Caenorhabditis elegans: one gene and its partner. The protein of the gene in region 1 interacts with the protein of each later gene in a pairwise test. Each region holds a gene or a part of one and is shown in the gene's direction. Other genes may lie near its edges.

The links.
Region 2: the proteins of Y34D9A.3 (region 1) and elt-7 interact in a two-hybrid assay, tested with the Caenorhabditis elegans proteins (one large-scale study listed by BioGRID).

The regions. Positions count from the first base shown.
Region 1 is NC_003279.8:1,032,633-1,040,962, forward strand, and holds Y34D9A.3 (THO complex subunit 2), read left to right. Parts: upstream 1-1,810; 5' UTR 1,811-1,840; coding exon 1,841-1,865; intron 1,866-1,912; exon of another isoform or gene 1,913-1,914; coding exon 1,915-2,012; intron 2,013-2,058; coding exon 2,059-2,247; intron 2,248-2,299; coding exon 2,300-2,431; intron 2,432-2,488; coding exon 2,489-2,612; intron 2,613-2,671; coding exon 2,672-2,764; intron 2,765-4,679; coding exon 4,680-4,819; intron 4,820-4,873; coding exon 4,874-5,081; intron 5,082-6,420; coding exon 6,421-6,540; intron 6,541-6,582; coding exon 6,583-6,662; intron 6,663-6,705; coding exon 6,706-7,249; intron 7,250-7,481; coding exon 7,482-8,014; intron 8,015-8,065; coding exon 8,066-8,131; 3' UTR 8,132-8,230; downstream 8,231-8,330. Other genes in the region: spd-1 (Protein regulator of cytokinesis 1), read right to left, coding at 1-241, 296-580, 633-803.
Region 2 is NC_003283.11:4,767,136-4,775,465, forward strand, and holds elt-7 (Transcription factor elt-7), read left to right. Parts: upstream 1-3,534; 5' UTR 3,535-3,578; coding exon 3,579-3,700; intron 3,701-4,578; coding exon 4,579-4,864; intron 4,865-4,917; coding exon 4,918-5,003; intron 5,004-5,648; coding exon 5,649-5,751; 3' UTR 5,752-5,951; downstream 5,952-8,330. Other genes in the region: C18G1.9 (FERM domain-containing protein), read right to left, coding at 786-852, 896-1,032, 1,082-1,664, 1,710-1,828, 2,380-2,476, 2,523-2,560. UniProt on the Caenorhabditis elegans protein: Transcriptional activator that binds to the consensus sequence 5'-[AT]GATA[AG]-3'.

The DNA.
Region 1 (8,330 bases):
AAGACTGCAACGAGTCCAAAAGCCGCTCAGAGAACACAAATTCCGGGGAATCGATGTTCTTCTCCAGCAAATTCTTCAAATCATCATCCCCGCCGATATAGTCGGCCACATTCTGCGCCATACTCTTCCACTGCGAGATGTCGGTCTGGAGACGCTCGATTTGGTGGTAGCGGTGTTTGAGGAGCTCCTCCATCTCACTGCAGCTTGCCGAGTACTTCTCGAACGCCTTTACTGGGAAGAGCTGAAATTTTAATTTATTTTTATATACTTAAATAAAAATGCGGCTTCTGGTTACCGCATGAATCTCATATTCGAATTCGAAATCCGACTCCAACCGCTTCTTCAAATTGCAGATCTTCTCGATGAGCACACGCTGATCCTCGTGTCTCGTCTGGAATTCTGTCTCCAAACTTTTCACTTCCGACTGCAAATGTCTCATCAAGGCGATCGAGCCGTCCTTTATCTCGGCGGGCCGCTGAAAATCCTCCATTTCCAGCTCGAGCCGCATCTTTTTGACATTTTGCATGTCCTCGCGAATGCTGACCTTCAGATTGTGGATCATCTCCTTCTCGCCGGATAGCTGGAATTTAAAAGGAGATTTTAAGTGAATTCTGGGTATTTTAGGCTTTTACCATATCATCACAGAGAAGCGTTATGTGCGTGAACGCGTTGTCGACACGCTTGAGCCTCATTGCTTCCGACATGTCCACCTCATCCCATAACGCTGAGAGTTCTCGCATCGTGTCGCGAATCTTTCCTTCTACAGTTGAGTACGCGTCAACGACGCTGTGCCTTCGGGACATTCTGAAATAACGAAATTAATTTAAACGGTATTTAAGTCGAATTTTTTACGCAAAAAAACAAGCATTTCACGTGAAAGAGGCAACAAATTAGCATATTCTCCAGAAAAAAGTGAGCTTTTTCAGTCAAAATCCTGCTTAAATCTCGAAAATCTTCACCAAAAACAGCGAAAATTCGATAAAAACTCGTTAAATTCTCGATCTCCAGTTTTTCGTGGCGAGACCCGTGCCGGAGGAAAATGCCTGCGCCTTTAATTTTTCGTTAATTTTAAACATTTTTGAGCAGGTAACTGGTAAACAAAACTAAATTGGTTCAATATATTTCAAAAAAAAAATGGATTAGTGCCGAGATTCTGAAACATTCATGAAAAATTGCATTTATTCCATTTCTGAGCCGAAATTTTCCTTTTTTTTTCAGGCAAAAAACCGAGCATATCACGTGAAAAAGCAAAAAAAAACGCATATTCTCTAGAAAAGGTGGGATTTTTACTTGAAAACTTGCTGAAATCTCGAAAATCTTCACAAAAAACTGCGAAAATTCGATAAAAACTCGTTAAATTCTCGATCGGCTTTTCGTGGCGAGACCCGTGCCGGAGGAAATTGCCTGCGTCTTTAATTTTTGAGCAGAAAATTGGAAAATTTTCGAAAACAAAACTATTAAACAGCACAAGCACCGTAAATTGGCTCAATCATTACATATATTTCTTAAAATTATATGGAATATTGCCGAGATTCTGAAACATTCCGAAAAATACATTTATTTAAATTTTGAGCTGTAATTTTGCGATTTTTCGGCAAAAACCCAAGAATATCACGTGAAAAGGCAACAAATTAGCATATTACACACGAAGAAATCAAGGACAAAGAGGCAAAGTGCCGCATATTGGGCCAGATTCAAATAATTGGCAGAGTGCCAAGTTTTGAGTGTTCAAATTTCAAATCTCCCTCGCGCGGGTTTCTAGGCCACGGCCACCGAGGCCCGCGCGTTTGAATTGATTTTTTTTTTTTAGGCGAAAAAAAATTCGGGTTTTTAGCAAATAATGCGACGGCGACGGTGTATTCCAGGTTTTTTTTTTTGAAGAAAATTTGTGAAAATTAAAAGATTTTATTTTAGTTATCAACGATATTACCGAGGGATTTGCTGCCGAAGAGCTGGAATATGCAGTTTTCGACGAATCTCTCTTCACATCGATTTGGAAATCGCCGGAAAGAGTAAAAATCCGCCAAATTTTGCCAAAAAATTGAAAAATTCTTGCAGCTATCGAACGAAACAGACTTCCATCTGCTTTTGACAGCGCTTTCCCGTGAAATCGCCGCTGAAAACTACCAGGAGCCACTTTTAATCCTAAAATTCATGAAAAAAACCGCGATTGGGCAGGATGAAGTGATAAATCGAATTTTCACATCATTATTGAAGCAAATTTTACGAGATGAAACGAGAAAAAAGGTTTTTAAACCAGAAAAAAAATTGGATTTTAATGATTTTTCGAATTTTTCAGCTGGATCCTCACGTTGTGCTGGATTTTTTGGACGCCGGCGACAAGTTATTCCTTGATTCTGAAACTTCAAAAAAAGCATATGCAATTCTAAAATTGTATTTTCTCTGCAGAAATCGAAAATCCAAGCTAGAGGTTGGTGATTTTCCGCCCGGAAAACTGAAAACCCGCCGAAAATTCCATTTTTTCCAGTGTTTTTCGTGCGGTTGTGTGCAAAAATACTTTATCGAGCTCTACAAGGATGGTACGAGGCTTCACGAGGCGTTAAACTGCCTGATAAAATCAAAATTGTCGGATTCGCCCACAATTATCGAACGTAAGCCCGAAAAAGTTTCGATTTTTCTGAATTTTCTCATTGTTTTTTTTTAATTTCAGGGCTTTTCAACGCGATGACGGTGATTTCAGCGATAGAATATTTTGAATATTATATAGAATTACTCGGAGAGCTTCAGAATTGCTCGGTTATTGGTAAATTATTGATTTTTTTTTGAAAATCTGAAATTCTGGAGAAAAATTCAAATTTCCAAGGAAAAATTAATTTTCGCTTTTAAAATTTTGCTGAAAACTGATTTTTTGCACTAAAAATTTCAATTTGAAGAACAAATGAAGAAAAATGGTTTTTTTTTTAAAGCTAAAAATTGAGCTTAAGCCATAATTTCTTCGAAATTTCCAATTTCTGAGTGCCAAAATCGCAATTTTCAGACAACAATTACTGAGTTTTTAGGCCAAAATACCGATTTTTAACGGAAAATTCAATAATTTTTCAGCCAAAATCGCAATTTTCCAGGCAGAATCAACTTTCATGGTTTTTTTAATGGAATTTCCAATTTTTGAGAGCCAAAATCGCAATTTTCAGAAAAAATTTTGAGTTTTTAGGCCAAAATCCCGATTTCCAAAAGGATTTTTCGATTTTTTTCAGCAAAAATCGCATTTTTCCAGGCAAAATCAATTTTTGAGCTTAAAATTGAGCTTAAACCACGGTTTTTAATGGAATTTCTAATTTTTGAGAGCCAAAATCGCAATTTTCAGGATAAATTTTGACTTTTTAGGCCAAAATCCCGATTTTTAGAAGGATTTTCGATTTTTTTTTCAGCAAAAGTTCAGGATTTTTCAGAACAAATTTCAAGTTTTTAGGCCAAAATCCCGATTTTTAAAAAGATTTTTTGATTTTTTTCAGAAAAAATCGCAAATTTCCAGGCAAAATCAGTTTTTTCGCTTAAAATTATATGGTTTTTTATGGAATTTCTAATTTCTGAGAGCCAAAATCGCAATTTTAAGCACAAAAATCGATTCCGTCTGAAAAATTGCCATTTTGGATGAAAAAATTCGAAAAATCCTTTAAAAATCGAGATTTTGTCTTAAAAACTCAATTTATTTGTTCTGAAAATTGCAATTTTGGCTTTCAGAAATTAGAAATTCCCGAAAAATTATGGTTTAAGCTCAATTTTAATCGAAAAAAATCGATTCCCCCTGGAAAAATGCGATTTTTGCTGAATAAGTTCGAAAAATCCTCTTGAAAAAATCCCAATTTTCGAAAAAAATTGAGTTTTTAGGCCAAAATCCTGATTTTTAGAGGAAAATTTGATACTTTTTTTTTAGCCAAAATTGCAATTTTCCCGGCCTAATCGATTTTTTTGCGCTTAAAATTGAGCTTAAACCATAGTTTTTCTGGAATTTCCAATTTCTATAAGCTAAAATCGCATTTTTCAGAACAGATTTCGAGTTTTTAGGCCAAAATACCGAATTTTACAAGGATTTTTCGATTTTTTTCAGAAAAAATCGCATTTTTCCGGCCAGAATCAACTTTTGAGCTTAAAATTGAGCTTCAACTATGGTTTTTTATGGAATTTCCAATTTCTGAGTGCCAAAATCGCAATTTTCAGACAACAATTATTGAGTTTTTAGGCCAAAATACCGATTTTTAAAATGATTTTCCTTTTTTTTTTTCAGCAAAAATCGCATTTTTCCAGGCGTAAGCGATTTTTTTTTTTGCTTAAAATTGAGCTTAAACCGTAATTTTTCTGGAATTTCTAATTTCTGAAAGCCAAACGCTCAATTTTAAGCGAAAAAAATCGATTCCGCCTGAAAAATTGCGATTTTGGATGAAAAATTCGAAAAATTCTTTAAAAATCGGGATTTTGTCTTAAAAACTCAATTTATTTGTCCTGAAAATTGCAATTTTGGCTTTCAGAAATTAGAAATTCCCGAAAAATTATGGTTTAAGCTCAATTTTAATCGAAAAAAAATCGATTCCGCCTGAAAAATTGCGATTTTTGCTGAAAAAATTCGAAAAATCCTTTTAAAAAATCGCACTTTTCAGAAAAAAAAGCTTGTTTTTAGGCCAAAATTCCGATTTTTAATAGAAAATTTAATACTTTTTCAGACAAAACCGACGAAAAGCCGCCATCCCGGCTCATTCAACTTCTCGGATTATTGTGTGAAACGAGGCTTGAAGATATTCCCCGAGCGTGCTCAAAGCTCATTTCTCTACTGGAACCGGTGAACGAAAAAGAGCAAAAGAAGGTTTTCTGGAAGCCGAGCTCCGCGGAGCCCCAAATATCAGAATTTTTTTTGCAGAAATTCTCAATTTTGGAAACCGTGTTGAAAAGCAAGCTTCTGCCTCGAATTTTCGACAATTTGATGGCTAATCCGCTCGCTAAGCTTGATTTAAATCGGAATTCTGTGCAGAAATACGTGGAAATTATTGTGAACGAGAAGTATTTGTATGCTCTGGAGGCGAGCGTGCTTTTCGCCCCGTTGCAGCTTTTAAATCGCATTTTTCTAGGTAAATTTGACTAAAATCTCCGTTTTTTTTCACTGAAAATCGATATTTTTGATGATTTTCTGGCCTAAAAATTGTTAAATTGTTAAAATTGCCCATTTGTCGATTTACGGGACTTGCGTGTACTCCTCGAGGAGAAGTCCCACCTTTTTTTCGATATGCGCCTTCAAGGTTACTGTAGTACATTTTTATTGATTTTTTTCAAAATTTTCAGAAAAAAAAAGTCAAATTTATATATTCAGGACCCAAGAATTAGGAAAAATTATTCAAAAACAGGAATTATTTGACATTTTTCTTTAAAAAATTCAAAAAATCAATAAAAAAAAGTACTACGGTAACCTTAAAGGCGCATAGAAAAAATTCTTGAATATCAGCTTTTCGTTTTGAGACCCGTATGTCGCTTTAAATCTATTTTTGTCATTTTTCATCGATTTTTCCTCAATTTTCTTCCAGAATTCATTGAAAAATGTTATATTTTACTTTTTTTCGCCGATTTTTCCAGATTTTTTGTGAAAGCTGATAATTCCGACATTTTTCGCACGTTTAAACCGGAAAAAAATGGAAAAAACGCGAAAAGTCAATAGAAATTAGCTACAGTAACCTTAAAGGCGCACACTTAAAACCTTAAATCCTAGATTTTCGTTGCGAGACCCGTAGGTCCATTTAAATCTTTTTTTGCCATTTTTTTATCGATTTTCGCCCAAAATCGTCGTTTTTACCCACCACTTCCGTCGTAAAACGCAGAAAATCCTAAAATTAACGTAGAAAACAGCAAATTTGAAGAATTCGGTGGCAAAATAGGGGAAATTCAACGAAAAATTAACGAAAATCGCCGATTTTTACGTTATTTTTTTGCAAAATCTGATTAATTCCGACATTTTTCGCACGTTTAAACCGGAAAAAAAATGGAAAAATCGCAAAAAATCAATAAAAATTAGCTACAGTAACCTTAAAGGCGCACACCTAAAATTTTAAATCCTAGATTTTCGTTGCGAGACCCGTGTGTCCATTTAAATCTATTTTTGTCGTCATTTTTATCGATTTTTCCTCTATTTTCTCCCAGAATTCATAGAAAAATGTGATTTTTCGTCGTTTTTATCGAATTTTTCATTACATACGGCGATTAGGGTAAGAGAATTAGCCAAAAACTCTGATATTCTTTTCCTCTCGGAGTACACGAGCTGCGTAAATCGACACATGGCCGTGTTGGAGGGTTTTCTTTGAAAAAAAAACCATTTTTGGTTGAATTTCCGGGAAAAAACAGAAAAAAACGGTTTTTTTTAAACCGAAAAAGGCCAAAAAACCCCCCATTTTCCCACCAAAATAATCTGAAAAATTGCAGAATTCGATGCGTTCGCAAAATCGTGGCCAATAATCAAAAATCGCCTGGAATTGGTGACAATCGACGCCCCACAGGCATCGATTTTGCTCATTTACGTGCTCAGTTTGATCTATAGAAATGGTGATTTTCCCCTTGGAATTCCATTTTTTGACCGAAAAATAGACATTTCAGAGGCCATACTACTCGGCGAATTCGATTTGTATCTGGAAAAGCAATTTCCAGGTGCTTCTGTGGTTGGAAAGGTAGTTTTTTATTAATTTTTGGACTAAAATTTCAAATTTTCAGCGGATTATCATCATTTTCTTCGATATTATGAAGCTCCTCGGCGCCGAAAAACCAAAAATTCACTCTTATTTCAAAGAAAATCGCACAAAAACCAAACTTCTCATGAACTCGGAGCTCGAGCTCGCCGTTGAATATCTTCGAGATTTCTCGGATTACGAATTGAACTGGTTCCTACAGCAGAGAGCTGACGAGGATTTTCAATTTTTGTTGGAAACGGCAAAAAATCTGCAGGCGCCGGTGAATTCCGACGGATTTTGGCGGAATTCGCTGGAGAAATTCGATGAAAATTCGATTATTTTCATTGAAAATCAGCTGAAAATCATGGCCACACGAATCGATCGAAAAGGATTAGCACTGAGAATTCAACAAATTTCACAAAAAATGATGCAAAAATCTGGAAAAATCGAGGAAAAAACCGCGATTTTCATTAAATTCCCGCAAATTTTGTTGGAAATTGCCGATTTTTCGATTTTGCCACCGAATTCTTCAAATTTGCTGTTTTCTACGTTAATTTTGGGATTTTCTGCGTTTTACGACGGAAATGGTGGGTAAAAACGACGATTTTAGGCAAAAAACGATAAAAAAATCGTTAAAAAAAATTGCAAAAATAGATTTAAATAGACCCGCGGGTATCGCAACGAAAATCTAGGATTTGAGAATTTAGTTGTGCGGCTTTAAGATTACTGTAGCTAATTTTTATTGATTTTTCGCGATTTTTTCAGTTTTTCCGGTGTAAAAACGCGAAAAATATCTTTTAAAAAAAATTTTTTTTTCAGAAGCCCAATTCAACGACTTATTTCGTCAATTTCTCTCAAAAACGATTCCCAACTCGACATGCACGTCTCCAATGGAAATTATTGAGGAAATTTGCGAAAAAATCCGAATAAAATCCAATTTTCGCCACTTGCCAGACATTTCATTCTTGAAACCCAATCCCGACACGATTATCACACAAATTTCGGAGATTTTCGACACGAAAATCGCCAAAAACGACGAACGAATCGTCGAAATTTGCTCGATTTTGTTGGAAAAGCTGGCGCCGCAACTTCAAGCCTTCGGAGATCGTGGCAAGACCCCATTTTGTCAAATTGTGAATATTATTGTTGATAAATATGTGAAAAATTCGGTGGAACCCGTCAATTTTCAACTTTTTCGGGAAGTTTGTGAGCGAGCTGTCGACGGATTTGCGATGATGACAGAGCAATGGAATTTCCTGTTTCTTTCCGCAAAAATCCTGACGATTTTGAACTTGACGCGGCGGGAAGCGGGCTTATTCGCTGTTTTAATGAGAAAAATCAATAAAAATGAGGTAAAATTAGGTTTTTTTTAATAAAATTCACAAAAAATCGATTTTTTGCAGATTCTTCTCACAAAACTACGCGGCAAGAAGGAATTTGTGCAGTTGGAGGGCTCTTTGGAGCTATAAATGAAGAGAATTTTGGGTAAAAAGCTGGTCAAAACTACACGATGGACGGGCTTTATCGATTATTTTGGAATTTTTTTTTGTTGAAAAAATAACATTTTTAAATTATTTTTTTGTTTTTATTGAAAAGAGTAACAATTTTTGGCTCTGAAATATTTTTTTTTATTCGAAAAATTTTTTTTGTCGGACAGGTTCTGGATTT
Region 2 (8,330 bases), on another chromosome or scaffold:
ACTAGTGTGAAGTGTGGCAACTCGAACTGGCCGAAAACTAAGCAAAAGTATTGCATATAGGAAAATTTAACAATCGAACCCACAATACCGGTGCCTTGTTGCCAGTACCTTGTATTAGGCCACAAAACTAGCAGCTGCTCAAAAACCCAAAATCTGTGAATTTGGTTAGACCATCAACTATCATTACCTATATATAAAAAAATAGTGTCCGTTTGTTAAGTAGTTTGTAGTCTGTGACGTCATAGCTTACAAAGGCAAGGCGTTTTCGGCTGTTGGAGGGATATTAGTTTGGGGTTAATAGGGGGATATGGGCGCGGTACTGTAGTAGTACTGTAGGAGTACGGTAGGATTACTGTAGTTTAGGAAAAACTGTGTTTTTGTCTTTTGAGGGAATATAAGTTTGCGGTTAGTAGTGGGATATGGTCGGGGTACTGTAGTAGTACTGTAGGGGTACTTTAGGAGTACTGTAGGATTTGTGTAGTTTGAGAAAAATTGACTTTTCGTATTTTGGAGGAATATTGGAAACATCGAAAAAGTTTTGGAATTTTCTAGAACCTTCTGGAAAATTCGAGAAAATTCTGGAATGTTTCAGAACCTTCTGGAAAATTCGAGAAAGTTCTGGAATTTTCTAGAACCTTCTGGAAAATTCGAGAAAATTCTGGAATGGTCGTGGTGAGACCTATCGTGGTGAGACCCATCTTGGTGAGACCCTTAAAAATTTGGTCTTCATAAACTTAAAAAACAACGGGTGAATAAATGAGTTTATTATTAAAATTAGGAGGAGTTCATAAGGTATCGCTTTCATAACCACTGTCACTGTCCTTTTCCGCGCTCCCAACGCAAATCATTTTTCTGAAATGATTCGATTAAACCTTCACCATTCCTCTAAACTAACCTCGTTTTGATTCTAAAGGGCCTCAAAGGTTTTACTGGTATGACTCTTGGCATGCTCGATTTGACTGGAAGAAAGATGTCTCCTCTGTGGACTTTGTTCATCAGACTTGTAAGCATCAGGCATGTAATTTCGAACTGCTGTAAAAAGTTAAAGTATAACCTAGAAATGAGAAAAGTTGGAACTTACACCGGTGACATCTGCAGTTTTGAAAACTTCATGGAACACGAGCTTAGTTACCGAAACGATGAAATCCGTAATATCTTCAAACGATGCAACACAGAGAACACTTCCAGCTTGTCCTTTAAAATGCATATGAGTGTCGAGAAGAATTATTGAATTTGTCGGGCGATCGTAGATAAAACACATGGCCCTTTCGAAAGCAAGCACTCCAATTGCCAATCTATCGAGTTTCGAGAGATACGGACTGTTTACAGCCATCGACATAGCTGTCACGAGATTGCTAATAAAGTCTCCAGAATAGCATGGGTAGTCAATCTCATGCATCTCGGGCCGCTGAACTTGAATAGCTTCTGGCACAGTGAACGTGTCTCGATGTGGTTTCTTCAAAAATTGGAAGACTGAACCACTTTCCCCTGTCTCTTCAAGATGCTTCTTTTTTAGACTTCCACTGAATCCTCGTCGTCGAGCTGCCATAGCCTTTTCGTGTGTCTCATTGCCATCAACAATTCCGTTAATAAGAACATCGAGGACGCCAAGTGGAAGATGTTGAGGTGTCAAAGGATGCGTGGGTGGGATACAGACGTTCTTGCTAAAAGATGGATTTACTTTTCGATCGCACTAAAATTTCACAAACCTCAAGAAATCGTGAGCAATCTGGACAGTGATTATTGTGCAAGCAGATGAGGGAGTCTTCCGGCCACCATATTTCGATTGAGAATAGCTCAGTGGGAGTGCCCACACGTGGACACGGTTCTGAAAATTATATTTGTTTATGTTACGGTAGTGGGTCTTTTTAGGTATCGTATCCGCAAATGTTCCTCAATTTTTCACTAAAAACACATTTTAGCGCTATGAATTTGGTGAAAGTCTAGAAATAGACGATTACGAAAACTTGTGGTGTACGGTAGCTGAAAGGTTTCAATCGTGCCGAGACCAGGTACAGTATTTCCGCGCACATATTTCTCCATTTCCCCGTACTTTTGGTTTTTTTTTTCAAAAACCCGGAGTTTTAGCGCTATTAATTGCGAAAAGTTGAGCGAAATTGCAAAAGTACAGTGTATTTGTTTCCACTTCTACGACTTCAAAAGAGGGCGCATTCATTCAAAATGGTCTCGTCACGCGCCATTCATTGATTTTTGAAGCGCGTGGCGAGACCAATGGGTGGAGCGTGGCGGGACCATTTTGAATAAATGCGCCCTCCTTTAAAGTCGTAGAAGTGGAAAAAATAAACTGTAGAGGTAATTTTGAAACACATGCGGGTACTGTAGGCACAAAGTTCCGATTATAAAAATCGGGATTCATACCTCAAACACTGCCGATCGGAAATTCGAATTAGCCATCTTATACCAATTTTCTGCAGATTCCTCATTTTGTGTGGTGTAAGTAATTTCGTGTCGAGATCTGTAGCGGTTAACTGAGAACTCGTAATTCTAATACCTTATATTACCTCCGAGTTGTACTCAATCCTGGTCTCGAGACGCACATTGGGGGTTAGTCGGTTAGTTGAGAAGCCGCGAATGCTAGTAATTTGAATAAAAATAATGAATTTAAAATCGCCTCTCACAGTTCTGAATTCTTATCTTTTTCCAAATCTACACTTTTTTTAATAGAAAAATACAGTTTACGTAAAACTACATTCCATGTTGATTTTTCAAGCATTCATTTTAAATAAATTATATGTATTTTAAAAAAAAACACGTTAGAAATAGGCTACCGATAATACAAGAATTAAATTATAAACACTATGCACTCTCACAATCAGTTTATGCCCCTTTTGCACATTACTTCAACTTAAAAAAAAATAATTGCACACTTCCTCCAGGACACAGCATTTCAACTTGGAACAAGATTTCCCATTCGCGACAAATTTGTCCAATTTGCCATTTGTTAAGCTCGGAATACTCTAAAATTTGCCTTGAGTTTAGAAGAAAGAAATGAATGAAATAACACAAAATTTTGTGAGTATCTTTAAAAAAAATTTTTTTTCCAGAATGCTACACTTTTAAAGCTTTTTCGTCAATTTTGTGATCCAAAAAATAGTTTTAAAATATCGAGATTTTCCGGGTTCGCCGACCAGGGCAAATTTGTCAAATTTGCCGGTTTTGCCGGACTCTGCAAATTTTGAGATTTGCCGCACCCCCCCCCCCTCTTTCCCATGTTTCCTTTTTTTGCTCGTCCACTGGCACACAAGGCATAGGTACATGCATCTCTGACTTACCACTAATTTACGACTATCCATAAAAGTCCCAAGTCATATTTACTTTCGTTCTCCTTCCCTTTAAGAACTTTGCCGTCCAGGTTCATAGTCATTATATCATAAACTACTAATGATGGGTGGTGAGCCACACACAGTTCCCCATCACCACCGCCGCCGGTCTATCTTATCACTCTGACCTTTTTTGTCTCTTTCTCTAGGATCTCTCCGGGCTCTTTGTTACTTTCCTGCCTGTAACAAAGACAGACATTTGTGGTTAGAGTTGTCTGCTCTAGTCGACTGGAAAAAATGCTCCCTGAAACTACTACTCTTCAACCACTTCCATCTGTTACGACTATCATGAATGAGCCGCCAGCGAGAAGTCCAATGGAGGACTATTATTTATTTAATCAATTTCAATATAATCAAAAGTAAGTTTTGAAATCAAAACTGTTTTATTGCAGTGCATAAAAATGTTGCATAATGTAATTGTATTATTTTTACGGCAAACTTAAATTGAAATATTCACTATCAACAGAATTATATGGTTTTTACATTACTACCAAAATATTACTTTCCTGTAGTAATGTATACAAAAACAACAACTTTGTTCCAACATGTGACCAAAACTATGTTTTATTGAACTCATGTAGCATAACTGATAAAAATCAATATCGAATGCTCCAAAGTATACTGCTTATAATCAGTAGTTTTCAGTGTTTTTGAGAATAGGAATCTTTGAGAATTATTATATTTTTTAAGGTTTATTATTATAATTTGAGAGTCTGAAAAACGAGTTTCATGCTGGGAATGGCTTAAAGTGTATGACTTAACATGTTTCCTGTTTGGCAATTGTAGGTAATTTCCAACTTTCTCTCAAAGTTTAACAATTTCCTACAAAGCAGTTAAAAAATTCTGTCTACCTTTCGTAACTTTCTTTCAAATGTTAACACTTTTTGCAAAATTTTTGCAACTTTCTGTCAATCTTTGGACATTTTCTGACAACTTTTTGCAACTTTCTGCCAACTTTTGATAGCTTTCTTTTAAAGTTTAACAACTTTTTGCCAACTTTTGGCATCGTCCTGCCAAGCTCTGGCAACTTTTTGACAACATTTGGCAACTTTTTTCCAACTTTTGGCAACTTCTTGCAAAACTTTTGGCAACTTTCTGACAAATTTTAACAACTTTCCGCTTAACTTTTCCTGCCAAATTTTACCAACTGCTTACAAATCTTTTGCCTAGTCTCCTGCACCACAAATGTACTACAAACTCAGCTCAGCTTGAGAGAATAAAAACTCCAACTTTTCAGTCCATATGTCTACCCACCGCAGCCCGTGTACTACAATACTTGGCAAGATGCTTCAACTCATCACTTTGATCCATTCCAGAGTTATCAAATTCCATCTCCATACGAACAACCAATTCAGTCGTCAATGTGTACTACTCCATTACAACCACTTGAAGATTCCAGAATTATTTTTGATGAAAGCTTGACGAAAAATGAAAATGAGCAAAAATCCTTTGTGGAGCAAGATAGCAGTTACGAATCATCTGGAAACCGATTTGGTTCACAGAAGGGAAAGAAAATTGCAAAAGTAGGATTCGAGGGTTTAGAATGAAATAAATATTTCTATATGAAATTTTTCAGGTAATTCGTGATGCGTGCTGCTCACACTGCTCAACAACTACAACCACACTTTGGCGTAAAAATGATGAAGGGAATCTTGAGTGCAAGTAAGTTTATATTTTATTATATTCTTTTATATTATTTCTACCAGGTGTGCGCGGCAACCGATTGTTTTTCTGGCAAGTCGGCAAATCGGCAAACCGGCAATTTGTCGATTTTCCGAATTTGCCGAAAATTTTCGGCAATTTGTGGTTTTGCACATTTTTTTTGGAAATTTCCGAATTTCAATTTTAATCGGCAAAATTGTACGCATCCTATGAATGTTCCTACATCTATTCTGAAAAGTAAGCAAGTTCTGTGAAAATATCTAAAGAAAACGGAGAAAACATTTCAAAAATGCACAGTTTTAAATGTTTCCGTCTTATAAAAAATCCCTCTAAAAACAAAAATCATCAATTCAATTTCCGAAAAATCGGCAAATTGTCGGAAATGAAAATTTCCGGCAAAATGGCAAACCGGCAATTTATCGATTTGCCAAATTTGTTGACAAAAAAATTTGCCGAATGGCACTTGCCGCCTACCCCTGAATTTTTTCGAACATTTAGAACATTTACATTCCAAATCAAAAATTCTCAGTTGAACTTGCTTATAATTTTCGATTATTTTTTAGAATTTCGAATTTAAAATTTTATTAATTTTAATGACTAGTTAAATATACATCATTAGTTCCACTATTAAAGTAATATTTTCAGTGCTTGCAACTTGTATTACCGTCACAACAAAGTGAAACGCCCGTTATCCCTCTGCAAGCAGAAGCCAACTACTCGAAAGCGGCGTCAAGCAAAAAAAGAATAGACAAGTTTGGACTGTATCGCCATTTTTCCAGCATATTACGTATCCCTCTACATCAATTGTACCGTGTTCTATGCGCTGATTTGTATTCGTTTTTTAAAAAAGATTATATATCTATGTCATCTTTTCCACTGATATTACCATATTCAAACATTTGTAATGTCAACTTCATTATTATTTTTCTTAAATAAAACGTTAGAGATACTACTTATACAAATATTGTTACAAATAATAATGTTGAAAGATTCTATGATAAGATGAGAAATTGGTGATATGTGGGATATTAATACAAAAGTGGGCTTTAATGTAGAAATTGAAACGATGAGACCAGGGACAGATGAAACCATCAATTTCTATATTCTGCCAAGCAGCCTCTAATAAATGCCGAGTGTGCAGACTCCGCCCCTCTTTCGCGTTTTTTTGGCTCGCGAAAGAAGGTAACACTACGTTTGGCTTTACAGCGTCACGAAGTTGTCCCAAAGTTGTCACAAAGTTGTCACAAAGTTGTCACGAAGTTGTCACGAAGTTGTCACGAAGTTGTCACGAAGTTGTCACGAAGTTGCCACGAAGTTGTCACGAAGTTGTCACGAAGTTGTCACGAAGTTGGCACGATGTTGTCACGAAGTTGTCACGAAGTTGTCACGAAGTTGTCTCGAAGTTGTCACGAAGTTGTCACGAAGTTGCCACGAAGTTGTCACGAAGTTGTCACGTAATTGTCACGAAGTTGTCACGTAATTGTCACGAAGTTGTCGAACACCAAAGTGCAACTGCGGCGAGCTATGGAAAAGCAAACTCAGTTACAAAGACTTCCTGGAGAACCTAATATCTAAAAATGTCCAAGTTGAGGTCAGAGAGTACAACAATAGAAGGCTAAAAAAGAGTCCCATAGGGAGGAGATGATGATTGAAGTCTCACTGAATGACGAAATTGTGGAAAAGGACTAGTGACTTGTGACCGCAGCAGATTCACCAAGCTGTGTGAGGAGAAATATGTTTTATTGCTCAGGTTTTGTGTGGAATTGTACCAATAAGATTCGAAATACGTGGGTTAAGAAAAATATTTTGTTGTTAGAGAACAATAATTTAATTTGAAAGGCTGCAGAAATTACAAAGAACACTCAAAATGAAAGGAAATTATTTAAATATGGCTTTTTGTGTTTTGGAAAAAAAAAATCCAAATGCATATTGCAAAAAATTTATTTAAGTTCTAAAGATAGAGTATCCCGAGTGATAAGTTATTTTTAAAAAACCAAAAGGTTTTCGATTTCTCAAAATTTTCATTCAAAGTTTGACCAAATATGCCAAAATTTCCTAAAATGGGAATTTTTTTCGAGAAATGTCTAGTATTTTTCGCGCAGTGTCGTTCTGTCCCTATGTATTTTGAACTTTGATCTCTGATCTTTGAACTCTCTTTATTGTAGTTGGGCAGGTTTTGGGTTGGGAGCAGGGCTGAGCAGCCGCCCAAAAAAATCGGCGATCGGCGATCGCCGATCGCCGATGGAAATTTTTTTTATCGGCAATCGGCGATCGCGGATCGCCGAAAAATCACGAAAATCGCCGATTGCCGCTCACCCCTGGTTGGGAGTTGGTGTGGGATTATGTTAAGGTGCTGTAGTAGGTACGGCAGAAAAACTGTAGGATTACTGTTAGTGAGGGATAATGCCAAGATACTGTAGGGTTACGGTTGGGTTGTTGTAGTTTTGGAAAATTTGAATTTTTAGCTTCAATATTTTTTTTCGTCTATGAATTTTCTCAAACAGAAATATCCCAGAGAAAAGATTATTTGGTTGTACTGATAATTTATTTTTTAAAAGCTTTACAATATTTTGGCAATCCTACAAAATGATCTATTGCGGCATGTTGGTTCAATATTATTATTTCTGAAAATTTAGCGTTAAAAAATAGAAAAATGTTTGATTGATTTGAAAATAACTGTTTTATCGATTTAAAACGGAGAACAAATGCTCAAAAGTTTTAACAAAGTTGCTAATTGCCGAAATTATTTCGCTTTTGGCATAAGCTTTTTTTGAGTATCATTTTAAAATTTCAAATTATAAAAATGCTATTTTAAATCATTTGAATGTTTTTTATCTATAGGGAAAATTTCAGAAAAAAATATTGGACCAACCTGCCGCAGTCGGTCAAATAAAAGCGATGGTACTGAACGTAGATTATGTTTCCATAACTCAACGCAGCCGACATTTTCCGAGTCTGTTTTTGATTTTTACATAAAATCATATTTTTCTACATTTTTTAAATTTTTGTGCAAACCCCTCAAAAAAAACCCATGCCATATAACTATGGAAATATGAAAAATACATTACATATTTTATACTTTGTTTTTCTGTTTTTTTTCACCCACCGTTCGTTGTTGTCAAGTACCCATCAATCATTTGCTCGGTATTTTTCTTTTGCAAAATCTCTTTTTTTTTCACTGGATTACTTCCATTTTTGGCAACTTTGTGTCGAAAATGCCGTCTCTCACTCTTCTTTTCTCGAGAGTTTCGACTCAATTTTAACCCCATTGTAATCCCTTTGTATCTCAGCGAAACTCTGCGATGGCCCCGCCCACTTTTCGCAAAC